Canis lupus familiaris: one gene and its partners. The protein of the gene in region 3 interacts with the protein of the main gene of each other region in a pairwise test. Links are inferred from orthologs where the notes say so. Each region holds a gene or a part of one and is shown on either strand. Other genes may lie near its edges. The genes, in order: PRKAB2, RDH12, RBPMS, NEDD9, RBFOX2, SEMA4G and RHOBTB3.

What was found.
Region 1: the proteins of RBPMS (region 3) and PRKAB2 interact in binary tests that used the Homo sapiens proteins (3 or more experiments, as listed by UniProt). The link is inferred for Canis lupus familiaris from reciprocal best matches to the Homo sapiens genes RBPMS and PRKAB2.
Region 2: the proteins of RBPMS (region 3) and RDH12 interact in binary tests that used the Homo sapiens proteins (3 or more experiments, as listed by UniProt). The two-hybrid records come from large-scale screens. The link is inferred for Canis lupus familiaris from reciprocal best matches to the Homo sapiens genes RBPMS and RDH12.
Region 4: the proteins of RBPMS (region 3) and NEDD9 interact in binary tests that used the Homo sapiens proteins (3 or more experiments, as listed by UniProt). The two-hybrid records come from large-scale screens. The link is inferred for Canis lupus familiaris from reciprocal best matches to the Homo sapiens genes RBPMS and NEDD9.
Region 5: the proteins of RBPMS (region 3) and RBFOX2 interact in binary tests that used the Homo sapiens proteins (3 or more experiments, as listed by UniProt). The link is inferred for Canis lupus familiaris from reciprocal best matches to the Homo sapiens genes RBPMS and RBFOX2.
Region 6: the proteins of RBPMS (region 3) and SEMA4G interact in binary tests that used the Homo sapiens proteins (3 or more experiments, as listed by UniProt). The two-hybrid records come from large-scale screens. The link is inferred for Canis lupus familiaris from reciprocal best matches to the Homo sapiens genes RBPMS and SEMA4G.
Region 7: the proteins of RBPMS (region 3) and RHOBTB3 interact in binary tests that used the Homo sapiens proteins (3 or more experiments, as listed by UniProt). The two-hybrid records come from large-scale screens. The link is inferred for Canis lupus familiaris from reciprocal best matches to the Homo sapiens genes RBPMS and RHOBTB3.

The regions. Positions count from the first base shown.
Region 1 is NC_049238.1:58,294,435-58,298,996, reverse strand, and holds the start of PRKAB2 (5'-AMP-activated protein kinase subunit beta-2), read left to right. Parts: upstream 1-1,564; 5' UTR 1,565-1,731; intron 1,732-1,736; exon of another isoform or gene 1,737-1,820; intron 1,821-2,012; 5' UTR 2,013-2,037; coding exon 2,038-2,193; intron 2,194-4,562. UniProt on the Homo sapiens protein: Non-catalytic subunit of AMP-activated protein kinase (AMPK), an energy sensor protein kinase that plays a key role in regulating cellular energy metabolism.
Region 2 is NC_049229.1:41,962,059-41,966,793, forward strand, and holds the start of RDH12 (retinol dehydrogenase 12), read left to right. Parts: upstream 1-1,740; 5' UTR 1,741-1,911; coding exon 1,912-1,979; intron 1,980-3,404; coding exon 3,405-3,523; intron 3,524-4,017; coding exon 4,018-4,173; intron 4,174-4,735. UniProt on the Homo sapiens protein: Retinoids dehydrogenase/reductase with a clear preference for NADP. Displays high activity towards 9-cis, 11-cis and all-trans-retinal. Shows very weak activity towards 13-cis-retinol.
Region 3 is NC_049237.1:34,777,312-34,781,409, reverse strand, and holds the start of RBPMS (RNA-binding protein with multiple splicing), read left to right. Parts: upstream 1-1,298; 5' UTR 1,299-1,580; intron 1,581-1,678; 5' UTR 1,679-1,817; intron 1,818-2,904; 5' UTR 2,905-3,160; coding exon 3,161-3,226; intron 3,227-3,691; exon of another isoform or gene 3,692-3,706; coding exon of another isoform or gene 3,707-3,730; intron 3,731-4,098.
Region 4 is NC_049256.1:12,162,857-12,166,894, reverse strand, and holds part of NEDD9 (enhancer of filamentation 1), read left to right. Parts: intron 1-2,272; coding exon 2,273-2,374; intron 2,375-2,873; coding exon 2,874-2,975; intron 2,976-3,905; coding exon 3,906-4,038. UniProt on the Homo sapiens protein: Scaffolding protein which plays a central coordinating role for tyrosine-kinase-based signaling related to cell adhesion. As a focal adhesion protein, plays a role in embryonic fibroblast migration.
Region 5 is NC_049231.1:29,471,791-29,475,828, forward strand, and holds part of RBFOX2 (RNA binding protein fox-1 homolog 2), read left to right. Parts: intron 1-2,706; coding exon 2,707-2,760; intron 2,761-2,879; coding exon 2,880-2,972; intron 2,973-4,038. UniProt on the Homo sapiens protein: RNA-binding protein that regulates alternative splicing events by binding to 5'-UGCAUGU-3' elements. Prevents binding of U2AF2 to the 3'-splice site.
Region 6 is NC_049249.1:13,849,503-13,853,540, forward strand, and holds part of SEMA4G (semaphorin-4G), read left to right. Parts: intron 1-293; 5' UTR 294-651; coding exon 652-775; intron 776-876; coding exon 877-1,025; intron 1,026-1,300; coding exon 1,301-1,363; intron 1,364-4,038. UniProt on the Homo sapiens protein: Cell surface receptor for PLXNB2. May play a role in axon guidance.
Region 7 is NC_049224.1:13,896,231-13,900,268, reverse strand, and holds part of RHOBTB3 (rho-related BTB domain-containing protein 3), read left to right. Parts: intron 1-2,317; coding exon 2,318-2,429; intron 2,430-3,018; exon of another isoform or gene 3,019-3,786; intron 3,787-4,038. UniProt on the Homo sapiens protein: Rab9-regulated ATPase required for endosome to Golgi transport. Involved in transport vesicle docking at the Golgi complex, possibly by participating in release M6PRBP1/TIP47 from vesicles to permit their efficient docking and fusion at the Golgi.

The DNA of each region.
Region 1 (4,562 bases), on a different chromosome or scaffold from region 3:
ACAGTAGGGACCAAAAAGGAGGTAACCAGGCAGTGGAGATTTTGGAGGGAGGAGCAAAAGGTCACAGTAAAAATGTTATCCGCAACATTCTTTTTTCTGCAAACTGTCTTTGGTTAAGAACCAGAGAATCTGGGATCCCTGGGTGGCACAGTGGTTTCGTGCCTGTCTTTGGCCCAGGGCGCGATCCTGGAGACCCGGGATCGAATCCCACGTCGGGCTCCCGGTGCATGGAGCCTGCTTCTCCCTCTGCCTGTGTCTCTGCCTCTCTCTCTCTGTGTCTCTATGAATAAATAAATAAAAATCTTAAAAAAAAAAAAAAAAGAACCAGAGAATCTCTGAGTTTACTAGGGCAGAGGAAAGACAAAAGGCAGAGAAGCGAATTTGTCAAACCTAAGTGTATGGTTTTTTTTTTTTATGAAAAATAAGCTTTTCAACAAAATAAAGCTGTTCATTCAAAAAGGGTGGCCTTGTACGACGTGGCATTCCCCCATCGCTGTTTGTTTAAGTGGTATTATCTTGTTAGAAATGTAGTAAACGGTATTATACCCTTCACTGTGCAAATATTTATTAAAAGCTTACTCCGGACAAGATGCATGCAGAACAGGAAGAGGAATCAAAACTAGACTTGCTCTCTGCCAGCCTTCAAAGCAGTGCTTGACACTTTAATATGTATACACATTCCCCTGAGGATCTTGTTAAAATGCAGATTCTGATCCTGTAGGATAGAGCCTCAGATTCTACACTTCTAGCCAGCTCCCAGGTGATGGCAAAGCTGCTGGTCTGTGTCACACACATTGAGTGATAACGGTTTCCGCTAGGGAATCGGAAAAGCACATAATTATAACACAAAGAATGAATTAGTAAATACCATACACGTTCCATTAATCATCAGCAAAAACCTAGATCCGTTCCAACCCGAGGACAATCTCTGTCCTTTTCTGCTCTCACTGTTCCTTCTCTTCTTGTTGGTCTTCCTCAAATGGCATTTCTTTTGGGGTTGCTCGTTGCATTCGCGGTTTCTTAGCTCAGAATAGCTTTCTCCTCCTCTTCAGACCAGTTTCACGCATCTGTCAAGGTTTCTCGCCTAATTACTCCTTCCTCACTGGGGCCCCAGTCGAGGCTGCTCCCCACCGCAGCCAGCTGGAAGGTACCTCAAGCAGTCGCCACTACTTCCTTCTGATTCCAGGAGGAAATTCTGTTTCTAAATCCCTGGAGGAACCCACCTGTCCGGGTTGCCCAGAGAACGTTCTGTTTAACCTGAAGCCCGGTGAGGCGGGCGGCAAGGAGGCAGCGCCGCTTCTCCGGGTACGGAGCGCCTGAGGCCGGGAGGCGGCCCTGCGGTCCCTGGAGCCCGTCTGCTCCGGAAGGCCGGCCCGCGGCTGACCGCGCCAGGGTTTCTGGGTCGGGTGGGCGGAGCCCGCGCCCCGCCCCGCCCCGCCCAGCCCGAGGCCAACGCGGAGCGGGCGCCCCCGCCTGGCGCGAGAGGCTGCCCACCACCGAGGCGGCGGCGGCGGCGGCTAGAGAGGCCGCGAGCTCGGGAGCCGTCGCCGCGCGGCCGTAGGGAACGCGCGCGGGGCGGGCCTGGCGCCCCTGGCCTCGTAGCCATTTTAGGAGGAAACCCGGATCTCCAGCCCGGGGCGCGGCTTCAATTTCAATAACTTTATTGGTGGACGTAACCGCAGAACAGCCATCTCGCGAGTGGCTAGGGGAGGAGGAAGAGCATCGCGGGAGGTGACTGGGGTGGGGGCTCCCCCGGGCAGTGAACGCGGGGATGCGGGGAGTTCCCCGAAGCGGGTTTCCCCAGCGGCGGGCGTCGAGAGGCGGGTGGCGGGTGGCGGGTGGGGGGTGGGGGGCCGCGGGCGCTGCCGGAGGCCGAGGAAGGAGGGGACCCCGGGCACGGCTTCCCTGGGGCGGGGATTCCCTGGCCCGGGTCCCCAGGCGCAGGGGCGGAGCGGGGGGCGTCCCTGACGCGGCCGCCGGGTGTTAAAGCCCCGCGTGGTTCGCCCCGGCAGGTGGCCCCCGACTCGAGCTACAGCCATGGGAAACACCACCAGCGACCGGGTGGCTGGCGAGCGCCACGGCGCCAAGGCTTCTCGCGCCGAGGGCGCCGGCGGCCACGCGCCGGGCAAGGAGCACAAGATCATGGTGGGGAGTACGGACGACCCCAGCGTCTTCAGCCTGCCGGACCCCAAGGTGAGTCTCCCCGCGCGCGCCCCGGCGGCCCAGCCCCCCTCCCCTTCCGGGCTCCTCCTCATCCCACCGACCTACGTTACGGTTTTCTGAATTAAAGGGATGGGGCTGGGGAGGGGGGGGGGGGGGGGGGGACGGAGATGTTGGAGGGTAACTGACGCCTGCGGCGCTGCCTCGAAATACTATAGAGGCGGGGTTTCTGTCGTTCGCCTGACCTGCTGGCCATATTTTTACGATGGGGACTGTAGAGTCGTCCCCCCCCCCCCCCCACAACGCCACACACACACACACACCCATCCCCGGTTTTCCGAACAGGCAGGAGCCCTCTTGGAGAGTAGTGATGAGTTTATGGGTTGTAAACCCTATAGACCCTGGTAGAAAACTTCAAAGACGGTAGGTTGCCTGAGTGGCTGATCATCTGAGACAGTTTCTCAGGTTTACCCTGAGGTAGGCAAACGAATTTCTTTTTTTCTGATAACCTGTAGGTATCAGTATCATTTTTGCTCCTCTAAGAACCCAGCACTTCGGATCCTCTTCCCCTTTGGCAGGATTGTGAGCAGCAGCCACTTGCCTATTTGATACTTTCTCCTCGTCTTGGAGATCAGTACAGGACTTCCTTTGGCTGACTGCTCAGTTGTTCATCTCATCCTTTATATTGCGGTTGGCTGAGGTGCTTCCTTCTTCACACCCAGCTACTGGTCAACTGGGAGAGCAAACGATCCAGGATTTCTCCTCTTCCAGTAGGAATTCGTGATGTTACCATCGCTGAAAACGGACAACCCGCAGCTGCCGGGCAGGCAGACCTTGCTCTCAAATCCAAGGACTTCCAGAAAAGCGGCAACTTGTGCCCACCCGTAGATTAGATGGAGTTGACTGCAATGGGATTACCATCCGAATATTTCTAGTCCCATTTAGAGCTGTCAGCATGAAATAACAATAATCCCTCCAGGCAGTCCGAGTGGGAGGAAGTAGAAAAAATGGAGGGATTGAGGAGATTCAGGTGTGTTTGATGTTTTTTTTTTTTTTATCACTTCAAACCTTTCACCAAATTGGGGTTTTAGGGAGTAAAGAAATGATTTGCCCCATTGGTAGCACATGAAATTTGGATTCTGTTTATTTTCTTGAATCCCAGTTGAAAACATAACTACAGAAAAAGAAGTGAAGGTGGTTAAAAGCACCATCTTGGGGTTTCGTCTCCATTCCTTTCTTCCTTCTCCCACTTTAGAACTTCTTTCTCAGCATTTGGGCCATCTAGCCAGTCATTTTGAATTTCCTTAGAAGCTTTCTCAAGGTGATCCACCTCCTAATTTTACCCTTTTCCTATGTCAATGACTCAGGATTTAAGTACAGTGTATTTGTCAAACTCTGACTGCAATAATTGGTGTGCTGAATAAAAGCCAGGTTGCTCCATCTGAAATGGAGCCTATTTTGGTTCCTTCCTTCCCTAACCCCAGTCTTGCCATTTGTGAGTAAGAAAATTGGTTCAGATAATTCCTAAGGTCTCTTATACATGTAAAATTTTATAGTTCTCAATCTAGTCTCTTTACTTCTTCCTTCATTGTTTTACTTAAATATTTTCAAACTGTAGTTCTCATTGTTTTGCCTCTTTTCATAATGATTTTGCTGACAATTTAACTTGGAGTAAATGGTCTTTCTGCTAGTCAGCTGCACTCAGGCCTGCCACGGAAATGTCATGTCATATGTGGAAGGGCTTTCTTCCAAAGCCGGGCATGTTAATAGTTTGTAGCTTTCAAATTCGAAATTGAAAATACTAAATCATCAAAGTGACTCATAGAAACAGTGGCAGTGGGGTCAACATTGCTTCAAATGCCAGTCCTCTTCAGTGGACTAGGTCAGTGGTTCTCAACCCTGTTTGCACATTAGAATCACCTAAAATTTGTTTAAACACTGTATGGAAAATTAGAGACATTTTCCATGTTTCAAAGTAGTTAGAGTAGTATAGTAAACTCCTATATACCCATCACCCAGTTTAAACAATGATTAAATTTGAACAAATTTATGTCATGCCTATGCCAGTCCACTTCCCCCTACCAAATATTTTGAAACAAATTCCAGACATCCTATCAAATATTATTTTATCTGTAAATATTTTAGGATGTATCTGTAAAGTTGAGGTTTTTTCCTTTGTTTAACATAATCACAGTAATAATATTCTCTGTGAAGCTTTTTAAAAACAGGTTCCTAGGTCCCATATGTAAACCAGAATCTGAGTTATTCTTAGGCATATGTAAAAATTTTTGTAATTCTAATGCAGCCAGTCAGACAAAGGTGCATTCCTTTAGGAATATGGAGATCAAGGTTTTCACTTAAGTCACTTCCTTACATAAGGTGAGAAAGTCCCTTCAATTCTC
Region 2 (4,735 bases), on a different chromosome or scaffold from region 3:
TGAGGGCTCTGCAACTGGCATGGATGCAGTGAATTGGAGCCAGAGCAGAGGAAGTGGGAAGAGAGGAGAGAGGCAACATGGGAGTCAAGAGAGATTCCTCCTGGGAATGATCTGATTACACCTTGTTCTGTTCATCAGGCCCATGACATTCCTAAGGGGCAGGAACTGTGTCTTTAAGACTTGGCACAATGCCTGACACCAAGAGGTGCTTAGCAAGTATATGTTAAATGGATGAATGAGGGAGTGAACACCTGCCTGCCACAGGAATCTTCCTCATTACATGCGTCTTCCTGGAGCCTAGGAAGCTCTAGCTTCTCAGGAAGAAGCAGAACTAGGGCATGACTCTTGGGGTCCTGTTCTGAAGACTCTGGCCTGTCAACCCATCCAGAAGAGGGATGTTGAGTGAGCAAGGACTGTGAACCCTCCTCCCACCCTCTCACACATTTTTGGAGGGCTCCAAGAGTATCTGCTAGCTTTTTGTCTTGTGTTTTCCTTCATCTTTAATATCATCCAGCTGAGGGGCTCAGTCAATTGCATGTCCAACTCTTGACCTCAGCTTAGGTCTTGATCTCACAAGTTCAAGCCCTGTATCCGGAGACTACTTAAAAAAAAAAAAAAAAAAAAAAGCATCCAACTGAAATGTTACTCCCATTCACTATGTCTTCCTTTTCTGCCCCAAACCCTTGAATAAAGCAAGTGGGATAGCAAAGGAGACAGGAATCAATACAATGAATCAAAACATGGGATACCTGGGGGGCTCAGTGGTTTAGCACCTGCCTCAGGGTGTGATCCTCAAGTCCCAGGATCAAGTCCCGTGTCAGGCTCCCTGCATGGAGCCTGCTTCTCCCTCTCCCTGTGTTTCTGCCTCTCTCTCTTTCTCTTTTTGTGTCTCTCATAAATAAATAAATAAAATATTTTTAAAAAATTAATCAAAAGAGCCAACTCTTTCACATATGCTAGTTTCCTATATGCTAGTTTCTTCTCAAATTTTCTACCTATTTAATTAATTTAATTTCTGCCTACTTAAGTATTAATTTAATACTTAAAACAGGTAGGTATATATTTTTTACCATACCCATTGCACAGGGAGGAAACTGAGTAACTACACAGGGCTCTGGAGCTTGCAAATAGATGGCTGGGATCTGAACCAGGAACTCCACTCTAGAGCCCATGCACTGAAACTCTTACCCTGGCATGTACACATGTTTTAGCTTCCCTGAGGTATAACATAAAACACAGAAAAGTGCACAAATCAAGTGTATGACTCAATGAATTTTTCACAAACTGAGCATTCCTCTGTAACCAGTACCCACCTCGAAGAACAGAACGCTTATCCCCACAGGAGTTCTCAACATGCCCCCTCCCAGTCTCTACCCCTTTCCCTTTCCCACCAAGGGAAACCACCCTCCTGACCACTCTTACCATTCTCCTGGGAGTTTCTACCTTCTCTTTCTGTTTTAATCACACTTTTATTACAAGTGTCATTGGGTCGGCTACTAAAGTTAAAAATATCCTGTCTTGCAGGAGTAGCGCTGGGGGTGGTTAGGAGAACACATTCCCTAGAAAAGAGAAATAATTGAGAGTGGAGAGTTAGCAGGCAGTTGCTATTTTCCCCTCATCCTAATTCTCTCTGCCAGTAAGGGAATGCCAGTGCTCTTTCCACTGTCCGCTTGCCCAGGACTACATCTCCCAGCAGGCTGTGCTCTGACAGCTCTCGGATTTAAATAGGATTCTGGTCTAAGCTTCCAGCCTGGCTGTCGCTGAGCTCTCACTCACTCAGCAGCAAGAGGAGCTAGAGGAGGCAGGGGTAGCACAAAGAAGCCAGGAGTTGGAGTCAGACCAGGAGCTTGAGCCAGACTTGGAGTTCAAGTTGCTTTTGCTAAAGCAGCAGCAACTAAAGAAGTTGAAAAGATGCTGGCTATCTTGGGACTGCTTACCTCCTTCCTTTCTTTCCTGTACGTGATAGCTCCATCCATCAGGTTTGTCCTGTTTGAGTAACTCATGGAATATTTTGCAAAGCCCTGGATTGGGATATGCGTAGCTTGTAAGTAGCAGTTCTCAGCTGCTGAGAGAAGAGAAGGGGATTGAGGCTGAGGAAGGGAAGGTCAGGGCAGAAAAAGCAGGAAGGAGGTCGTTAGCAATACCCTCGTGAAAAACGAGAAGGAAGCACCTGGGGCTGGGAGAGAAGGGGCTTGTTTGAATTCCGGTGCCAGTGGACAGCTGACTCTATAAAGTAGCTTGACAGCTGAGGTGGAAGTGCTTGCTCTATCACTCTATTCCCTTGGGTTTCTCTGAAGGGCCCTAGGTCCCTTCTTTATTGCCCCCGGTCAAGGTGGCCCTGCTGGGTTACCATGGGAGGTCATTGCTCAGGGACTTATTGTTAAGTACCAGGCATTTTGTAAAGGAAACAAACTCTCTTACCTTTGAGGCTACCCTCAACTAATGATTTGGGATGGATCTTCTGCCGTGGGATTCCTGGAGATGTCAAAGAAATGTGTGTTCTGATTGAAAAAATTGAAAATTGCTGATAATAAAGAAGATTAAATGGACATATCAGGAACAGAGTGTTGCTCTAGGTCATGGCAGAGAAACCTGGGTTTAAGTTCCAATTTTGCCACCATTAGCAAATGGATTGAACTTCTTTGACCCTCGGTCTTCCCCACGGTAAAATGGGGCTAATACTGGAGTGGTTGAGAGGATTAAAATAAGTTCTTTACAAAAAGCGCTTAGCCTAGTGTCTGGCAGTCAGATGATGCTCAGGAAATGTTAGTTCTGCCCTGTTCTCATCCTCTTTTTTGGAACTTGTCAAGTCAACTTTATATGAGAGGGTGCTCTCTGCACAAGCAAATGGACAAGGTAAGTTTCTCTCTGCACTGATGGCTAGAATGGACTCTTTAGTAGGACAGCAGAAAGCCTTTGAAGATGTTGGCTTTCTAAAACTGGAGAGGCAGCCCAAGAGCTGTATTCATAGTGCTATTAATCAATTATTCACTCTTGATGCTTATTGAAGACCTAGGGCTCAGGAACGCTGATTCCACTAATGCTCATCACCCATATGTTCTGAATGCAGGTTAGAGGAGGAAGCTGACCTCTGGGAACCTCTAGAAATAAGAGCTGGGCATCCATGTTATCTAATGAGGAAGGTCTCCATTGGCCCTGGCTCGAGAACACTTATTCAGTTCATCAAAATAATCATTTGTAGTTTCTGGGCACATGACCTCCCAACCTGAGCTGATGAGCAGGATGCCCAGTGGGAAAACAGTGTCTCCTGAAGATTAGCTTCTTTGGGTCTCCTGAGGACAACGTAAAGAAATTTCCCTTTGAGGCTGGATGGGTTTTATGTTGATCTCAGTCTGGAATTTGGAAGGATGATACATGAGTGCTTTTGTTTCCCTTGCCTATAGGAAGTTCTTTGCTGGTGGGGTTTGTAGATCAAACGTGCAGCTTCCTGGGAAGGTAGTGGTGATCACCGGCGCCAACACGGGCATTGGCAAGGAGACAGCCAGAGAGCTGGCTCGCAGAGGCAAGTCCTTCCCCTTGTGTGTTCATAGGACAGTGCCTCTTGCCTTTCAAACTGGGGGTTCTGTCCACATTTCCTTATCTTTCCTCCTAGGCTTGGAGGTTTTGGTTGGGAATTTAAAGAACCTGGGATTCAAGTCCAGCTCTGACACCAACTTACTCTGTACCTTTAAACAAACTTCCCACCCTCCCTTCTCTTTCCCTAGTATATGGAGGGAAATAATGATGTTCATGTACAATATTGGTCAAATCAATTATTCTAAATGGGATACCAGGTAACATTAAATACCAGTGGGTAAAAACCAGGGTTCCCAGCCTAGGGTTAAGCTGACAGCAAAGGGACTGAGCAGTTCTACTTATGAGAATCCTGAGGTGGCAATATAGCCACTCATGGTTTAGGGATGGCTGGGAGAATATTTTGTCCTCTAGTCTCAAGCTTACATCTACTTTTTTAGCCTAGGGTCTGAACATACGGCTTTCTCTTTGTTTTGGCCCCAGGAGCCCGAGTGTACATTGCCTGCCGAGACGTACTGAAGGGGGAGTCTGCAGCCAGTGAAATCCGAGCTGATACAAAGAACTCCCAGGTGCTGGTGCGGAAACTGGACCTATCTGATACCAAGTCCATCCGAGCCTTTGCTGAGGGCTTTCTGGCAGGTAAGTCCCCTGCCAATAGACAGAAAAGCAGAAAGCTGGGTGTGGAGGTGGCTGTTCCACCCTGTGCCACCTGGGACCCTTACATCAGAGCCACTATCGATCCCACTGGACAGGTTCTGCCACTTGAACCAGCAGGGCAAGGAATTGGCGGTGGACAAGCTGGGCAGGATCCTTATCATGGTTTTCCTCAGCAATGGGAAAGTTGAGCTGTCTGTCTGGGCTTGCTGCTTGGCTTTAAGGTGTGGTTCTGATGTCACACACTTCTCATTCTGAGAATCAACCTCCTGTGGCCCCAGGCACTAGATGAAGTTGTGCTGCTGCCAAAATTCTTCTGTATCTTGGAAAATGACTAGCTTCTACCAAGGACTATGAAATTCATGAAGGACAAGGACTATGTGTGTCTTGTTTTATGGCTATATGTCCAGGGCATAGCTGAGTGGGCCTGGCCCAGAGTCAGTACTAAGTATACATTTGCTGAATGAATGAATGAATGAATGAATGAATGAATGAATAACTGAATGAGTGGTGTCCATGAAGATATCAGTAACTAAATTTAGAAACC
Region 3 (4,098 bases):
AGCCAAAAACAGATGCTCAACCACTGAGCCATCCAAATACCTGCAATTTTATTTATTTTTGAAATCTCATCAGTTGTCTCATTCTGAGCAAGCTCTCTATCTAGGTGGGTCTCCCCTGCAAAATAATGCCTAAAGACTACTACCATGAATCTGCCTAGTGTCCTTGTGGTGGCTCCCTATGCTGAGACACTTCCACTTATTCAGTCCCTCCTGCAGGGGCTTTGTAAAGATGTGATGTCATTCAAGGCTGAAAATCAATCTCTGATAAGACTGTGTTCATTTATTCAAAAATATTCACCGAGAGCCTACTATGTGTTAGGCACTGTCTAGATATTGGGGACACAACGATCAAATCAGACAAAGATCTTCTTCTAGCCCTTATTTTTTTTTTTTTATGCCAGATGTCTTTGACTTTTAACAATGGACAAAGTGCTGGCAAAAGAATCAGGTTCTACATTTGGAATTAGGCCACATTTCCCTGGACGGAGGTAGCAGCAGCATCCTGGAATCATACAGCACCTTCCACCGACTTGTAAGTGGAGTCTGACTGGAATCATCAATGACTAGATCAACTGTCACTTTTCTTGGGCCTTTGCCAGGCTCCAGCAAGACAATATCTTTCTGTGGAGTGTATTCAGTACCTGGCAATGGCCCAGGAGGGCAAAGGGCCTGTGTTTATTGGTGGCGCAGGGGCCCAAGACCACCACGCAGCCATTGCTCAGGAACACATTGCCCCCTCGTGGTTCTTTACGTAATTGAGGGAGGGACTGGGATTGGAAAGGCTCTCCAAATTTCCAGATTAATCGTGGTGGCCTTTGCCTCTTCTGAACTTCCATTGCAAGTTCAACAGTTTCTTGGTTTATTTTCATCCAGGATACGCTTTCCCCCCACCCCCCCCACAGAGGCACATGACATCCTGACAGCAATTAAACCTATTTATCAAAAGCTTCAGACTTCCCCCACCCCCAACCCAAGAAAACCCCAGTAAGTGAATGCAAGAATTACCACTCTGTTTTTCTTCACAACGCTCGTCACACAAGTATTTTCTCTGCTTTCTGCTATTTGAACCAGGATCGCTGATCATGTGGCCATGGAGTTGTTTTGGGTGTCTCGTCTCCACAACACCAGTTAAAACTCCCTAGAAGCAGGAGCCTTATCTTCACCCCCACCTCCACCCCACCCCCAGCAGCACTTAAACCAGTACAGGGTGAAGAATGTCTGGCGGGGAGGGGGGAGAGCAGAGAAAGATAAACAGTGAAGCGAGCAAATAAATAGAAGTTGTGATTGGTACTGTGCTGGAAAGGAACAGCATGTCGTGTGAGAGAATTCCTGGGCGTGGGAAGTGAGGGAGAATCTTCTGATAGAGGCCCTTTTAAATTTATGTGTTTATGATACAGGAATGGAGAAGCTCTCTATGGCCCCGGGAAAATGGAAATTTCCTTAATAATAATGCTAGTTTCCCTGTTCTGTAAACTTACACCGGGCAGGAATGAGTGCTGGGTGCTCTAGCTCTACCAACCTATAATCTCCTCTAATTACAACCCCCCTGGGAGGTAACTATAACTACTCCCATTTCGCAGGTGAGGAAACGGAACCCAGGCAGTCCTCTGGCGCGTGGTGCTTAAACAGGTACTGGGTGCCCCCCTCCCAGAATGCTGAGCCCTTTTTCTTCCTTAAGGGGCTTTGACCCTCCGAAGATCATCTGGGTTGGCCTCCAGCTCGGCTCGCCGTGAGCAACAGTCACTTAGCCAACAAGTATTTATTGAGTGCCTACTGTATACCCGGTAGCGTATTTAACTAGCCGTGGGATTATCAAGGTAAACAAGGACACGGTGAGGCTGGCGTTGCGTTGTGGGGAGGCTCCCCCGGAAGGGTGAGGGAGGCAGGCAGGTAAGCAATTCCAGGACGGTCTGCTGAGGGCCGAGAGAGGGGCCTGAGCAGAGGGGGGCGCGAAGCCTAGCAGAGGGCGAAGGCCGGGGCTGAGAGCCTGGGAGGGCCCGGCGTGGGAGGTGGGTTTGAAGCTGCGCCCTGGAAACGCCGGCCCCGAGCCGGCTGCCCCCGGACCTCGCTCGTTCTCTCGCATCCTGTCATTTCGAGCTGCCAAGTAGGAAGGGAGGAAATAGGTCTGAGCCGGTGCTGCAGAGGCAGGGCAGGCTGAGCGACGGGGGCGCGATCCCCACGGCGGTAGCCCACGGCGCGTCCCGGGCGTCGCGCGGGCCCGGCCCGGCGCCCCGAAGCCCCTCTCCAAGCGGGCGCGCACCGCCGCGCGAGCTCGCCAGCTCCGGGGGCCCCCGGGGGCCGGGGAAGCGGGAGGACCTGGCCTCCCTCCCTCGTCCGCCTCGGCCCCTGCCCTCCGACCTCCCGCCGAGTCGGGGGGCTGGGGTCGGCCGCTTCCGCCCGCCGCCCCCCGCCCCTCCCCGGCGCGCGCCATCCGGCCGCGGGCGGCCCCTCCTCCCGAGGGGGGCTTCTGCGTCCCGCGTCCCGTCCCTCCGGGCTGAAGCTGGCAGCCCACGTCTAGGGAGGGCGGAGGGAGGAGGAGGAGGAGGGGGAGGGGGAGGAGAGAGGGGAGGGAGGAGGGCGAGAGAAAGGGAGCTGCTTGGATCCCGTACTTCTCAGAGCCTGCCTGGAGCGCGCACTCAGCGGCTCTCCGGGTCCCAGCGTCCCAGCCGCGCCCCGCACCTCCTCCTCCTCCTCCTCCTCCTCCTCCTCCTCTTCCTCGGGTCTGGGCACCCCTCGCCCCCTCCCTCCGGCCCCCGCCAGGCTCGGGCAGCGGCCGCCCCCAGCCCCGACGCGGCCACATCCCCAACTCTCTGGGCTCCCTCCTGGGACGCGCGCCCGCGCCCCATCCTTTCTTCCTTCCTTCCTTCCTTCCCTCGCGCCCGCCCGCCCGCCCGCGCTCTCCAGGTCTCCCTCCCGGTCCCGATTGTCTCCGTCCCCGCCGGCCCGCGCCTCGCCCTGCCCCGTGTCTCCCGCGCACTTCCTGGGTCGCCTCGCCTCGCCTCGCCGCGGAGCCCGAGCCGCCGCTGCCCCGGCTCCAGCCCCCGCAGCCCGCGGCGCCCGCCCGAGGGAGCCCCGGCGCCCGGGGAAGGGACAAGCGGGCGAGCGCGCCCTCGCCCCAGCCCCGCGCCCCAGCCCTGCCCGGCGAGGAAGGACCGGGAAGATGAACAACGGCGGCAAAGCCGAGAAGGAGAACACCCCGAGCGAGGCCAACCTTCAGGAGGAAGAGGTACCGGGGGGCTCGCTGCGGCGGGGGCACGACCTGGGCGCCGCAGTCCGGGGTCTGGGCACGGCCCTCGCCGCGACCTGTGGCCCCGGGCCGGGGGGGGGGCGGCGGGGGGGGTCTCTTCGCAGAGCGCGTTTCTAAAGTTGCGTAACTTTGAGGACTTTTCGGAGTTTGCTAAGTATAATGCTCAGCTTTGTCTGCGTGGGATTTTAAAAGCGGAATCGAGAGCTGACTCCCGGGTGACCTCCGGTTCCTGGGACCCAGAGGGTCGGGACCGAGTCTGCGACCGGGGCTGGGAGTGGGGGGTGTTTGTGCGTGCGGCGTGAGGAAGGAAGGAACTCGGGGAAAGTTCTCGGCGGGGAGACACCTTCAGTTCCCTGCCCCCTCCCCCTCCCTTTTCAGTGTTAAAAGTTCTCGGTGCGATCTCTTTCCAGCTGAGGCATTCTGGATTAATAGATAACTCATCAGCTGCATTCTTCTCTGATGAGTCAAAGACCTCGAATCTGGGTGATTAGGGTTTGTAAATTTTAGGGGCGATGCGGCTGGGGTGGGGTGGGGGAAGCCGAATAAAAGAGTTTGAGAGTTTACAACTCGCCAAGAGATCATCTTGGCTGTTTTAATAGCACTTTGACTCCTGAGCGTGAATTTTATGTGGTGCGTCCGTAACAAAGTTAAAAACGTTGCGGCGGCGGAGCGTTCCTTGGGGTAGAAACCCCATTTATCCGTGGGAGGGAACACCTGAACGGACGGTTTCAGAATTTTGTAGTTAGGATATTTGTGGTATTCTTTCAAGTGGCTTTGTTCCTGCAGGTATGTTACCTGGAGTCCAAGAAACAGTACATGTTTCGCCTGCTTTTTAAGTTCTCCCATAGCTG
Region 4 (4,038 bases), on a different chromosome or scaffold from region 3:
GTCACCCAAGCGACGGGTGGAGGAAAAGAATGTGCAAAGTAGAAGACTTCCCGCTCCTCGTTCCTTCAGATGTTCACAGAGTGCATCGCTCTACGCCAGGGATGCATCTGACCAGATGCAAAACGCTGGTCCCTTTTAAATGCTATTTGTGGACCAGCGTGCATTAGATGGTACCGTCGGGAATGCTGGAATCGGGGAGAGATTGTATTTTGTTGGCTTTCTCCCTCTGCGGTTTGCGCCATCTGTTTCTTTTAATGCATAAACAAGGAAAATGACTGGCTTGGAATGCAAAGTTTTTAAAAACCAGATGACCACAGGCATCCTCTAAATGAGAAAGAGAGAGCAAGTTGAGGTTCTGTGACATTTGTCAGGAAGCGAGATGTTAAATACCGGGAAGCGCGGATGCTCTCTGCCAGGGCAGATCCACCAAGGCAAGGAAAAGCTTTGCCTATGACCCTGCCTTTCTGAGGTCTTGCCATATGTTTACATTTCACCAGGGACTATTTTCAGATCCCGGCACCCCCACCTCTATCTCCCAGCCTCCCTTCCCGTGTTTAAACTAAGGATGGAAACGCTCAGCTGGCCTTCAGCATAACCAGCCTTGGTTTTCCATTAGCATTATTACTGGCTTGGCAACCTTGGACAGAATCCGCTCTTAGAAACTTTCAGACTGAACAAAAGCTGTGCTGTGTGCAGGTTCTCTTACGAAGCCAAAATAGAGAGCTATAAATAGAGGGGCTGAGGAGATAAACTCAGAAAAGATACTTTACTTCTCTCCTGGATAATAGCGAGTGGGAAAAAAAAAAATCCTATAAGGGCAGGAGGAAGACAGTGCATTTTTCTTGAGCAAAGGGCATGCTGCTTTTAAAAGGAAGATTTGCTCTGCACAATCCAGTGGCCAGTGTATAAATGGTTCTGTATGCTCCATGCCAACAATCTTTAAAGCCATAGATGCTTTAAAAAAAAAAAAAAACAAACAAACATGGCAGTGGAGAGATCTGATGGGATAGTGGCTGCGTACAAATCTTTACCTTCATTGCAAGAAGTAATCAGCTGCAAGCACCGGGGATTTCAGCATTTTAGAGCTCCCGGGGAGAGGGGGCATTGGTGCATCTGGCTGAGTTCCACCTACTTCAGCATGAGACGGACACCGAGCATTTTTCACATAGTTTTGTAGGCAGCCCGACGCCAGAATTTTCACATTAGAGAAAGGATCAAAGATGACAGTTTCTTAGGGAAGAACCAACTCTGCCTAATTTACAATGCCCCTTCTCCTAAAAAAAAATAAAAATAAATAAATAAGACTTCATGGGCAATACTAAGAGGGGCTTTGTTAGTCATTTGGAAGGGCCTGCATTAGATAGAAACAAGACCCTGGTCATTTAGAAGTCCTTGGAGGACTAAATACGTTTCCAAATGAGTTTAAGTTCAAATAATTTCTCTACCCGTACTTAGGACACAGTGAAGGATGGTAGATAGGAAAATACGAGCCTGTCGGGTGAGGTTCGTTTCATTGGCATTGGTTCTAGATGCCAGAGTTGTGATGAGTGTGTTTGACTTCCCACATCCCTTGGACATAGGTACTGTCTGGGATGTCTGCTTTCCTGGTAGAAATGAGAAAAGGGTTAGAGACCTTGAACTCTGTTCCTGGTGACTCTCAACCCAGTCTGTCATTTGTTTCAAAGGTTAGATTGAAAGCTCCTGGAGGCTTCCGAGAGCAGCACTGCTTGAGCGTTCGCTTCATATAAGTACTCTAGTGACCTATGGAATTTTAGTTATAATAATAATCATGTCACATGAAGAGGCGTCCTGGGGAAGGTATGAGAGGAATTTTAAGTAGTTCAACTCTCTATTTGCATTCTTCTCTTGACAAATAGTTTCAGAGCCTTTAAAAAAAATCGTGGGGTTTTTTTTCCCCATTAGGCTATGTTTTTGGTGCTTCTAAGGGATGATCTAGGACCTTCATAATTTAAAAATGATTCTCCCCTAAGGTACATACTTGGGATTGAGACTTTGACCAACTTTGTCATTAGGAGGAAGAGGGTTGGAGCTGTTTCAGGGATTTGTTCTTTATTGGGATTCAAGAGGGGGTTTAAAAGTGTTCTGACCTGATGTCTCCATGTCTCCTTCGTTTTCTCTTCCCTTCCTTGTTTTTCTTTCTTTCTTTTTATGGGAGATAGGTGACGGAGGAGAGTGCCTGGTTAGGAGTCTAAAAGATTCACTCAGGACTGTGGTTCAGAAGTTTACACCCTCTTTGTCTTCCTGCCCACAGGTGGTAACCCCAGTGAGGACAGGCCAGGGCTATGTGTACGAGTACCCGTCCAGACACCAAAAGGACATCTACGACATCCCTCCTTCCCACACCACTCAAGGGGTACGTACCAGGACCGTGGTCACCCGGGGAGGGGAACACTTCAGGGTGGCATCCCTCAGGGCTTCAGAGCAAAGGGATGTTCACAAATTATGCATGTTTCACATGATGCTCTATTTAGGTTATCATCCAGAAGCCATTTTCACCAAAGCTGTTCAAATTATGTTTTCGGGATTTGCCTTCTCAGGAGGCCCTAGGCTTTTATCTGACAAAGCTTTTGTTGCTTATCATTTTCCTTCGGGAAGTGTAAGATTTAAACTATAGTTCAAAGTACAGGCAGTGTAGATAATTTCACATAGGGTCACTTTTATACTCAATCTAAGTCAAAGTATATGAAATATAAAAAGAAAAATCCTATCAACCCCTTATGACATAGTGTGGCTAAAGAGCAAGGTTGTACATGTAACGTGGCAAATAAACCCATAATGAAAGGCTTAGCAGATTAAGAAATGACAAGGATACAATATTTCTATTCTGGGTAAAGCAAGTGTATTCTCTTCAGGTGTATGACATCCCTCCGTCATCTGTGAAAGTCCCTGTGTTCTCACTGCCAGTGGGAGAGATAAAACCTCAAGGCGTCTATGACATCCCTCCTACTAAAGGGGTAAGTGAATTTCCTACGAGCAGCAAAAAAAGGTGTGTGTGTGTGTGTGTGTGTTTGTTGGGATGAAACAAGAAGGTCAAACCAAAGGGGAAAAACTAGTCTTTATGAGAGAGTGAATGGGAGGAAGGAAAGGCCATAGTTAGTGATAAGTCTAAGGATTCCAGGGGTGCCTGGCTGGCTCAGTCAGTGGAGCATTTGACTCTTGATCTCAGGGTCATGAGTTTGAGCCCCACAGTGGGTACAGAGATTACTTTAAAAAAAAAAAAGGAAAGGAAAAAAAATCTCAAAGAGAAGTCTAAGGATTCCATATTTACGGGATTCCGTAAAATAATTCAGTTTGGCAAGCAATGAATATATCTCATTTTTATTAGAAGTGTTACAGCGTCCTCAGTTCGTAGACTGGGGTTGCTGCGTCTGATGCACTCTGTTACCCGCTGGGGTATTCCTGCACAGCAAGCGTAGTTATCCTTATCGTGCAGAGAAGGGAGCTGTGTGTGGAGACATTTAAGCCACTTATTCAGCATCTCATGGCCGATAGATGCAGGGAGAAACCTCAGGTCTTCTGACACCTGGTCCTGTGTGTGCACGCACAGTCTGCCTCCCCGGTTGGATCAGCCGAGGAAGGAGACCCCAGGACGTGGTCAGAAATGCGGGGCTGGGCCCCAGGGAGAGCAACTCAGCCAGGAAGGTTCCACACACAGGCAGCACTGAGGCCATGGGAAGGACGGTCCTGTCAAAGGATGAAGGAAGTGAGAACAGAACAGAGCGGAGCCTTGGGAACCACCGGCCATAAGTGAGTAGAAGGTGGAAGACAAGAGCCAGTGATTCGGACTGAGAAATCGGGCCTCGTTTTCATGTCCTTTTCAGTTTCTGCATGTTCACATGAGCCAGCTGAACAAATAATAACTCCTTTTCCTACTCCCTTTTCAGTTATATGCCATTCCACCCTCTGCTTGCCGAGATGAAGCAGGGCTTCGGGAAAAAGAGTATGATTTCCCCCCTCCAATGAGACAAGCTGGGAGGCTGGACGTCAGGCCCGAGGGCGTTTATGACATCCCCCCAA
Region 5 (4,038 bases), on a different chromosome or scaffold from region 3:
GAATTTACTTTGAATCTGCAGTGCAGCAGTGGTTTTGCCAGCTGTGTTCTGCAGGGCCTCTAGGGGAAGGGTGGAAAGGAAACCCATGGGTTGGGTCTTGAGGCCTGCAGCAACTCCTGTGTCATATATATTGGGGCTCTGCATGAAATTTTATCTAGAATCAAATGGGATATTTTCTGCTTTTTAAAAGTTTGAATCTGGGATCCCTGGGTGGCGCAGCGGTTTGGCGCCTGCCTTTGGCCCAGGGCGTGATCCTGGAGTCCGGGATCGAATCCCGCGTCAGGCTCCCGGCATGGAGCCTGCTTCTCCCTCCTCCTGTGTCTGCCTCTCTCTCTCTCTATCTCTCTATGTCTATCATAAATAAATAAATCTTAAAAAAAAAAAATAATAAAAAAAAAAAATAAAAGTTTGAATCTACTGCTTAGATAAGTATTGTATTTGCTGGTAATGTCCTAAAATCAAGTGTAAGAATCTTAGTATATTCCATGATGTCTCCAATAGATAGATTTAGCCCAGCTTCTCAAACAGATGGTACAAATCAGCATAATTTGCATTTATCAGCATAATTTACATTTTGCCTACCCATTTATCAATGGTCTATCTTGTGATACCACTGCCTCCCCCTTTACCTCTTGTTTTTTTTTTTTCAATGCCCATAACAAAAACAAGTTTCTGCAATTTTGATAATAACTCATGTAAACAAAATAGGAAGGAGAGGCAAAGTTACATTTCCTTTAGATCCAGGGAGAATGCTGTGGTAGAAAGAGTCACTGACTAGAATTGAGAAGACAGAAATTCTACTTCTAGATTTGACTCATTTTACTCTGTCAGTGGACCAATCTTTTTAACCTGATTCTGTTTTCATCTCTCTTAATTGGTGATCACAGAATTTTAGCACCTGAAGCCTCTATAGAAGTCATCAAAATCCAGCCCTCTCTTAGCTTATTATTTAGGAAATTAAGCCCAAAGAAGTATAGTACTTATTCATTGTCCCAGATGTGGTACCTATCTTACCTCTCCCCTTGGGTTTTGTGAAGGTCAAAATACATTGTAAATTTGTACAAAACCAAACATACAAAAAAAAAACTAAACGTACTCAAAGTATTATTGACAGCATACCATTACATACCATTATTAAAATATGTAATATACTTAAGGGAATGCTTAAGTAATGGTGCCATTTGCAGGAAGAAAAAAGTCATTTTTTAAAATATTATTCTAAATTAATACTCAAGCCTAACCAAGCCAAACTTGAGAGACCAACAGCTGCTTGTGGTTTAAAGCTTCTGAAAAGAGTGCGCTAGATGCCTTCTAGTGAAGTCTCAGCGATTTAGTTTACATTGGTTGGAATCACTTGATTTGTCTGACATTGTAGAACATTTGTGTTCTTACAACTCCAGTAACATTTGAACTGAGGTATTTGCCCAATTTTTATGTAAAATCATGTGTTCACCATCTATGAGCACATAAAATAATGAACGGGGGTTAGATTGGTTCAGGATGAATGAGTTTTCTCTTGAATACTGTCTCCAGTCTTTAAGAAAAATAATGGAGTATGTTTGCTTATTTGTGTAAAATTCAATAAAAGTCTATTGATTAAAGTTTTCATATGAAATTCTACTCCTTGGGGATCCCTGAGTGGCTCAGCGGTTTAGCGCCTGCCTTTGGGTCAGGGCATGATCCTCGAGTGCTGGGATCAAGTCCCGCGTCAGGCTCCCTCCATGGAGCCTGCTTCTCCTTCTGCCTGTGTCTCTGCCTTTCTCTATGTGTCTTTCATGAATAAATAAATAAAATCTTTAAAAAAAAAAAAGAAATTCTACTCCTTAACTATCAATGGGCAGTAGTACATTTTTCTCTTTTTAACGTCTGCTATATTTCTATAAATATGAAAAAGGGGGATGAAGAAATAAAGTTGACACCAAACCTAATGTTTGCAAGTACTTAAAGTTTATAAATGCTTAGGTTGGTACTCAACAGCAGTCTAGTATCCTTTAGCTAAAACAACTAATTAAGTATGTTTATTACCACTTAAAATCCCAAAAAATGCATGAAATTGGGGATGTACCTTGAATTTTATTACTGAGTGTCTCTTCTTGTTCACTTGGCTGAGGATAACTGCACCGAAATTCCATTGGTAAATCCCAAAGAAAGGGGATTTTCACTTACCTAGATTTCCATCAGTATGGTATAATTGAACAGAGTCAAAGATCAGCTCAAATTTAAATTCAGAATATACCTTTATAAAGCAGTGAGAGTAGTAAACAGTGTGAAGATGATGAATAAGAAAGTGCATCACAGTGTGGTGTACAATGACATATATTCTGCCTTTCTCATTTTTCTAAAAACAAAGAATTTTTTTTTCAAAGAATATGTTCTAAGCAGTTCTATGAAAGAGACGAAACCAGAGCCCAGGATTTACTTTTATTTCTTACATTTCTTTGTCCTTCTCTTTCCTCCCACCCAGTTTTTCTCCTCCCCATTTGCCCCTATACCTGCAACACCCACCCCCCCTTATTATCCCTTCACTGTGCTTGTTCTGCTTAAAGATGCTCAGGTGTGGAAGTGACCCATCAGCTGGCGTCTACAGAGAAGATAGTGTTGGGTGGAGCTTAAATGCAGGGATGTCTGGAGCCAGCTTTCACATGCCCTCATCACACCTTTTCCTCATGGAGTCTTAAATGCTCTCTGTCCTCTCTTCCATTGCAGGTTGGAAATTAAGCCCCGTAGTTGGAGCTGTATATGGCCCTGAGTTATATGCAGGTAGTATTTCATTAATTTTTCCATTTGGCCTATTGACCATGACAACATCTGTTGGTTTTCGATCTACTATTCCTTTGTAATCTTTTTGCATTTTTTTTAATTTTTTTAAATGCAATCAGCATCCAGCTTTCAAGCAGACGTGTCCCTAGGCAATGATGCAGCAGTGCCCCTATCAGGAAGAGGGGGTATTAACACTTACATTCCTTTAATCAGTAAGTAGCCTATGTTGGCCTGGCATGGATTTTGACTGTTGTGAGTAAACAGTGATGTGTCCTAGTCTTTTTCTTCTTCCCCAAGTATAATATATAACTGAGGAGGAGGCCTTCTCAAGAGAGTTAAATGCTGTCACAGTGTCCCATCCTGCTTAACCTGTGTAAGAATCTTTCTGACCAGATACTGAGATTGCCACGAAGCATAAATAGTTGGAAAAGGTCAAGGGGATTGAGGACATGTGTAGAACATTTTAGTCTGCACTTGATTTTAAAACCAAAGAAATAGATACTTGTGGAATATAATATGCATGTTCTCTGCAGGTCAGCTTTGGGCTTTTTAGTAGAGTATCATTTAGAAGCACCTCCAGCATTAATGATTATTCTCCCTCTGTTGATACCTCTGAAGTCATTCTGACCTGAGCCATTTTGCTCTAGCAAGGTATAATTAAAAAGAGTTCAGTGAACATGGAATAAATGTCTCTGTGTGCTTTCCAGAGGATAGCACATTTAAAATAGACCTTTAGAAACTTTCTGCCTCTCTGAAGGCCACAGGATTACAAGGGAGAAGTCGTTTTCCTCTCCCCTAACATTTCTGGATTAAAACATTTTAGATAAAAGAATAAAATGGACTAATGAAATATCTAAAGATTATTGTATGCCTTGGAGGTTAGCACCACATACAAACACAAAAGACTGCTCTTATGAAGAATAATTATTAAGTGCACATAACAACATGTGAAAATAAGATTAATAATTGGCCAGTTAAAGAATTAATATCAACAATTTAAACTGCCTGCAGAAATTAAAAGTCTTGTCTCTTACTACGGCAGTAGTCCTCAGAGCTTCTTGACCTCTTTCTCACCAGCTTGCATTGTAAAGGCCAGAATTGTGAAGGAGCAGAGTAAACTCACTCAAGATTGGATGATGAACGGAGCATGCATCATTAGTTTTTGCATATTGGGTCTCTCAGTTTCTTTCTCAGAAAAGATGTGATAATCTCTTCCAACCTTTCCTGGAATTGGTTCAAAGCAAGTTGTGATTGTACCCCTGCTATTGAATTCAAGTT
Region 6 (4,038 bases), on a different chromosome or scaffold from region 3:
TCCCTGAAAACAGAGCTCTAGTTGAGATGGAGGCCTAGCTTAGCTTCCTACTTGGTGAGAGGAGGGCCATTAACTTTGGGTTTGGGTTGGGAGGAGTCTAGGGTCTTGTAAGGAGAGCAAGTTCTGCCCAACTCGCACCAGAACAGAGAGGTAGACAGAGTCACAGTGAACTGATCCTGATGTGGGAGTTCTATAGGCCACCTCCCCCAGTACCCCTTGATGTCTGGGGGGTAATGCCATCTACCTTCCACCCACACATAGATCAAAGAGTTTTTTTCCTGTTTTTTCTTTAGAAAACGGACCTCAGAGAACCAAGACTAGTCCTTCTGTCGGGGCAGGGTGACCCCATCAGTGACCTACAACCCCTCTATGACCCCACAAGTTCCTCCCACCACGGAGTTTGTATATGATGCAGAAAGGCAGTGTGTGATATATCCCTCTCTCTGATCTCTAACCTGGGATTCCATGGCCACACAACCCTGTGATTCCATGTCCCCTCGATTCCAGGACCCTCCCTGGCCCCATGACCCCTGACCTTCCAAGTGACACCTCCCTGGGCCTTGACCCCCGTGACTGTTCTTCCCATCATCCCCTGTGATTCTGGCCTTGGCTCCCCTGGGGGGTCTTACAGGTCTGGGCCTCCCCAGGAAAATGTGGGGGAGGCTCTGGCCCCTCTTCCTGAGCTTCCTCACAGCCACTGCAGTCCCTGGACCCTCACTTCGGAGACCATCCAGAGAACTAGATGCCACCCCGCGGATGACCATCCCCTATGAAGGTTAGATCCCCCCACCCTCAAATTTTGAAAGACAGCAGGAGCCAGGTCTGGGAATAGAGAGGCAGCCCCAGGGCTGGGCTCACTGCTCCTGCTCTTCCCAGAGCTCTCTAGGACCCGGCATTTCAAGGGTCAAGCCCAGAACTACTCAACACTGCTACTGGAGGAGTCCTCTGCAAGACTGCTGGTTGGAGCCCGAGGTGCCCTGTTCTCTCTCAATGCCCGTGACATAGGAGATGGGGCTCACAAAGAGGTTAGCCCCTAGAACTTGGAGCACCCGGAAGGTCTCCAGCTTTATCCAGCTCCCTGGGAACCTCAATTTCCTAGAAGCCCTGCCAGCTTTCCATAGCCCCCTGATCAGATAGCACTGCCCTTCCCAAGCCAAGTCTCCTTTACCATTCAGTGCCACTCTTGAAACTTACCTATACCCCAGGTTCCTGCAGTCCTATCACTTGGTTCCATGGATAACGGTGAAAGACAAGGGTACTGGGGTCAGCACTTCAACCCATTCCCTTTCCCCATCTCCAGATCCACTGGGAGGCCTCCCCAGAGATGCAAAGCAAATGTCATCAAAAAGGAAAAAACAACCAGGTATGTGGTCTGCCCTGTCCCCAACTTCTTTCCTTTTCCTCTTCATTTGGGAATGTCAGGGTTGGTGGGGACACAGATGGAGAGGTATGGATCAGCCAGTCAGTTGCAACAACCACAACAAACATGTGAGTATAGCCAAAGTGGCAGGCCGTAGGTGCAGCACTTCTAATCCAAACATTTGGTGGCCTACCAGCTTGGCCTGTAGTAGCATCTTAATCTCTTCTGGGCTCCTGAATAATAATCATGAGAGTAATAAATAGTCTCTAGTAAATGTTAACTTAGCTGTTTTCTCTCCTAATTCTAAAATAACCCTATGAAATAGTCTTATCCTCCATTTTACAGATGAGAAAAATAGGTTTGGTCAAGGAATGCCATGGAGGAGTGGTAGTGAATTGTCAACTCTTTCTGGCTTAAGAACAAACAGGGTGTCTGCAAGGGTCCCATGTCTGGCTATGTAACAGATCCATATGGAGAGCTTCTTAAGAATATGCATTCCTAGGGGCGCCTGGCTGGCTCAGGCAGTAAAGTGTGTAACTCTTAATCTTGGGGTCATGAGTTCAAGCCCCACATTGGGCATAGAGATTTTTTTTTTTTTTTTGAGATTACTTTAAAAAAAGAAGAAGAAAAAACACAGTCCTGGCCCAAGGATTCTTTTTTTTTTTTTTTTAAGATTTTATTTATTTATTTATTTATGAGAGACACAGAGAGGAGAGGCAGAGACATAGACATAGACAGAGGGAGAAGCAGGCTCCTCACAAGGAGCCCACAGAGCTCAGGCAGCCCTATGTAGCTCAGTTGGTTGAGTATCTGACTCTTGGTTTCAGCTCAAGTCTTGATCTCAGGGTAGTGGGATGAAGCCCTGCATTGGGCTCCCTGCTCACCTTGGGCTTCTTGGGTTTCTGGGGCTCCTGCTCAGCAGGGAGTCTACTTCCCCTTTCCCACTCCCTCAGCTGCTCCCTCTCCCTTTGCTCCTCCACCCTCTCTGCCCCTCCACCCACTCAGTGCTCTCTTTCTCTCTCTCTCTCTAAAATAAAATAAATAAATCTTTTTTTTTTTAAATAAATAAATCTTTAAAGAGGCACCTCTAAGAGAGTCCATCAAAGGTGCCTGCTGATAGAGCATGCAGCATAGGTAGAAAGTGGGGCTGGTGAGGGAAGTGGAGCCCAGATCACAGAGGACTGTAAATGATCAACTGGGAGGATGGGTTTTATTCTGTGACAATGGGCACCCTCACCATTTGGTACTTTATAGACTCTCAAACTTTAATGTGTGCATGAAGCCCCTGGATATGTTATAAATGCAGATACTAACTCAGTAGGTCTGGGGAAGGCCCCAAGATTCGGCAATTCTAACAAGCTTCAAGAGGACACTGATCCTCCCAGTCCCCAAGCCATCCTTCAGATAGCAAGGCTTGAGGAGAACATTTCCCAAGGCATGTTCTAAGGAACACTAATTCTTAAAAGAAAGGTTTAATGGTCACATAAGTTTGGGAAGTGCTATATGCTCAATTCTACAATGCACAGCAATATCCTTAAGGCTCTGAAAAGTCCCCTGGAAAGGCAAGCTTTAGCCATGGTTCTCAACTTATTTGACCACAGAATTCCTCCCTGACCCCTCTTTTTTTATGTAAACAACTTAGGGAAACACTACTAGAGGAATATTAATCCAGTCTCAAGCACTAGATGGATTAAAATAGAGTGAGTCTGGAGGCAGGAAAGGCAATGGGAGTTGGTGACATCATGGGGTCAGAGGAGGGAGGCCTGAACAGGCTAGTGGAGAGGAGGGACAGATATACCCAGGGAGGGAATGGGATGAGACAAAGAGGTCTTCATGGATTCACACCCTGGGTAGCAGGCAGGAGGAAAAATCACTAACAAGGCAAAGAAGTCAAGAGGGGCTTAGCTTATAGCAGTTAATGGGCAAAGAAAGGCAGTGTGGCTAGAGGGGTGAGGGGGTGAGGAAGAGGCAGAGGCCTTTCATGCAGGGCCAGACGTGGTGGGACCCTATGCTTAGGACTCTGGTGAGCCACTGAAGGTTTTTAAATACAGCAGTGACGTGAGTTGGTTTATATTTTTAAAATATGCCTTGGAAAGTGGGTTGCCAGAGGAGATGATTGGTAGAGCATCTCTGAAAGGAGACTCCAGACAATGGTAACAGCAGTCCCCTTTGAAGCCAACAAGGCTAAAAGGAGATCCTCTGTTTACAGCCTATCCCTTTGTACCTTTTGAATTTTATACTGTGTACTTATATTCCTCATTCGCTGCATAAATTAGTAGCTTTTATAGTCACAGCGGCTTGGGAGAACAGTCAGGCAATCTCTACATTTATCCAGGGAAGAGGGGACAGCGGTAATGTGGACTAGGGTGGTGGAGGTGGAGGGGAAGTGGACCACGTGAGGAGACACTTACAGCAAAGAATCCTAGAGAAGGACCAAACATGGGGGTGAGAGAATGGAAGGCATCAAGGATGACTCCTCGTATCTGGACTGAGTAATAGGATGGATGGATGAAGTGAGGTGGGAAGGACTGGATGAACAGGTTTAGGAGGGAAGGTACAGGTTAGGGAGGAGGGAGTAAGCTTGGTTTGTGAGTTGGTGAGTTTGATTTTTCCGTGGGCTATCAGGTGGAGAGATGGCCAGAACATGGGGATTGATTTGGTAGTGTCACCCCAGAGGG
Region 7 (4,038 bases), on a different chromosome or scaffold from region 3:
AGAAATATTAATAATACAGCATTAAGATAGACTCACAATATTGATATTACAATGACTATGAGAAACTTTCATCTTATTTATTTACAGTGACAAGTAAAAAGTAGAAAGGTTAGAAAGGTAGAGAGGACTGACATCTAATTTTCCTATCAAAGATGTTATAGGGATCCCTGGGTGGCGCAGCGGTTTGGCGCCTGCCTTTGGCCCAGGGCGTGATCCTGGAGACCCGGGATCGAATCCCACATCGGGCTCCCGGTGCCTGGAGCCTGCTTCTCCCTCTGCCTATGTCTCTGCCTCTCTCTCTCTCTGTGTGACTATCATAAATAAATAAGATATTATATTGTAGTGGATTAAAAACAATCTGAATTTAGTCTAAGAATCTTGCATTTCCCAGAAATACCTAGGGAACTGGGGGGAAATGACAGTTCGGTTTCATTGTGGAGAGGAGAGGGGGCTGGTTCTCTTGGAGTATGTAGGTTTCCTTGTTCCCGGCTCCACTTCCTGAACCTGACATCCCAGGGTCACTCTTCCCACCTGCCAACTCCCACTTGCCTCTGCTTGCTTCTGCTTCCTCCTCCTTGTTTCTCTTTGCTCCTAATGCCTGGTGTTGCAGTTAGGGTTGGAGGCATGATAAGAACTGAAGATGTGGTCAAGGTTGGAAGAAAGACATGGCAGTTTCTTTTATCCTTAAGACTTGGTGAGAATGTAGAAATAAGATCAGAATGATCCCTTTTGAGATTGTTGAATAGTAAAATACAGCTTAGATCTTGACTGTAAGAAATGGTGGTATTTGCAGGAGTATAGATGGAGGCGATAATGTCAAAGTTAAAGGAGCATTTAAAATCTTGTATTTAAGAATCAAGGATGAAGACCTGGGCAAGAGGAGTGTGTGCCCTTTATCTTTCGAGAGCCCCATCTGGCACTCCCTCCAGTTGCACCACCATGTCACAAGTTGATGGAGCCAAGGGGTATGCCCTCCTGGAGCTAGTAGCCCTTCTAGGCCTGCACCATTGGGTTAGGGTAGCCATTACCCACAGATAGCTATAGCTATTTATATTTAAATTAACTGAAGAAAATTTAGTTCCTCAGAGACACTACTCACATTCAGGTGCTTAATAGCTACATGTGCCTTGTGGCTACCGTATTCAATAGCACAGATATTACAGAACATTTCCATTAATGCAGAAAAGAAAGTTCTGTTGTTACAGTGCTACAACCATGTTCCAAATGCAGGACCCCAAAGTTCTCTGACCAGCGGTCTGTTTCTCAGGCCTGCGCAGGCCTTTTTCCTGGGTTGATCCTCCCGCAGGTGGACTGCATTACTAGTGTGTGTGTCCCCAAGTCTGAAAGGTGGCCATAGGATGATGGCGTAGGAGGTTTTGGATATGCAGGCCTGGATGTCTGCTCGTATGCAAAAAGCTCCTTGAGGCTTGGGATGGAGCAGGGGTGAGACGAGAAGGGGAGGTCTTGGGATCTGGAATTAAGGCCAGCTCTCCCTGTCCTACCTGAAGTTCTGAGAAGTCTGAGAATTTAAATCCAAACCTGGCCTTCTAGGCTTTTATGATGTTATATCTGTCAAAGTAAGAGGATATAACGTCTTTTACAGATTAGTTTGTTTTCTTGATTTACAGAGTTTAAATATTAGTGTATGTGGTACATGGACCTCTATTTGTACCTTTGCCCCAAGCCTTACAGCACAAGGCATATAGGCCTTGTGCTGTGCAAGTGAGTGTGGTTAGGATTTTATTTTTAAGATTTTATTTTTTAGTAATCTCTACACCTAATAAATGGATCTCGGATTGAAAATCTCAAGATCAAGAGTTGCATGCTCTGCTGATGTAGCCAGCCAGGCACCCCAGGATTTTTAATTTCTAACATAAAGGATGTATTTCAGTGTAATTTATTCAAGAAAAAATAGAGCATATGTAAACATCCCTAGTTGATCTGAGCATCTGTGACATAGAGCCAGATCTGTCCAGCCTTGAATTTCTCTAGTATTGACTGCTGCGGTTGTCCACGAGATGGTTATTGACAGTCACACAGTTGTACTGCTGGACTTTCTTGATTATTCAAGAGAATAAACAGTTCCTTCTTGAATAGATAGTTTATTTATGCTTGGACAAGCACAGTCTGTTCAACTTGATACATTTTTTAAAAAAGAAAAACAAATTGTTTAAGTGTTTGGTAAAGCGTACATGTAGATGGTACTGGAATTAAAAACATTTGGCAAATCTGATTTGGGGTACAAATAATTACGTTAGATACATAATTTTGTTGAAGATTTAGTTTTAACTTAATTAAAATTTGATTCCTGTTTTAGTTGGAGTATTTTATGATTCAAGCCTTAAATCAGAAGACAAGTGAAAAAATGAAGAAAAGAAAAATGAGCAACTCATTTCATGGAATTAGACCACCTCAGCTTGAACAACCAGGTGCATTTACTAACCAATGTCTAGACATTCAGTTGATATTTATTATAGATCACTTCACAAGTGTTAGAGCAGTTGTTCCCAAATTTGGAATCTGCTTTTAAAATACGTTTCCAGGTGATTCTGAAGTAGCTGGTACTTTGGACCCATTTTGGACTGTCTTAAACTTGAGTCTACAAGCTTCTTTTAAAAATAGTGTATGTGGTGAAGAGCTATTTTAGATTAAAGTCTAAGAGAAATGATAAGCAAATGCAGTGCATGAACCTTGATTGGATACTGGTTCAATAAAAACATCTCAAAGACTTTTCTCAGGACAGTTGGGTAAAATTTTAATATGGACTGGAAATTAGGTGACATGAGGGAATTGTTAATTTTTGGATGTATGGTAATGGTTCTATCATTAATGGAAGAATGTCCTTATTTTTTGGAAATGAGTATTAAAGTATTTATAGCTGAAATATCTTTATGATTACAACTCTACTTTTACATGATTCAGGAATATGAGTCTGTGTGTAAGTGTGTATCTACCTAGAGATATGGCAAACATGACAAAATGTTAATTACAGAATCCAAGTGAAGGATATATGTGTGCTTATTGTATCATTCGTTGAACTTTTTCAAATGTTTGAAAATGTTCATAACCCAAGGTTAGAGGAAAATAAAAATAAATATACACAATTTTTATCAAAATTAATTTTCATCAAATTTTTAATAATTCTCATAGAGATAGAGTAATAGTACTCATGCAGACCAATTTGCTGTGGATATTGTTTTAAAGTGTAGGTACTTGATAAGTACTTGTTAAATAAATCAACATAAATTAAAAATCAAAAAAACATAAATTAGTATGGGAAATTTTTGGTTGTTTTTTTTTTTTAAAGCAGATCTATAGATCCTAAGTAATACACAGATGGCTTTGAATTTTCCGGTGTGCAAAGTGAGAGGGGAGACTTGGCTGGTTACATAGCAAACCTACTGCTTTAAATACTTTTTGGATAAGAAGATGGGTGGGGAATAGCCAAATAAACAATGGAGGCAGATAATTTCTTGGTTCTTATTATTGAAGAAGAGAAAACACAACAGTTGATCTGAGAAAGCAAAGCAATTCATGCCATTTAGCACTAGAAGAAATTTCTCACGTGGGTCTCCACTTGGGGCACTGGGTCACCTAGTGAACAGGGCTTTCAGAAGTGTCTGGTCAGCAAATGCAGTCTCAGTTCTCACAAGTGGTTCTTCGTGCCCTTCTGTTAGGTATCCCACTGAACATCGTTCTGGTGCTTACTTGTTCTAAGAATGGACCCGGGGCTCCCGGGCGTGTGGCTTTCAGGTTGTTCTTAGCCATCCAGGGTCTGGGAGGTACCTGAGGCAGCAGAGGGAAGCAAGAGTGGGGTGTAGGTTAGGAAAAGCCTAACCACCAAAATACCGTGTTATTATCGATTTTAGAGACCGAAGGTTTGCTTTAGAGTAAAGAATTTTTCTTCCTAGAGAAGTTTGAATTTTACTGGTTTAGTAGATACATATCTTTGCAGCAACCCTTTACCGATAACCCTTTCCTCGGCTCAGCTTAGGATAAAAGCTAGACAGCAGATATTTTATAGTTAGGGTCTGTGAT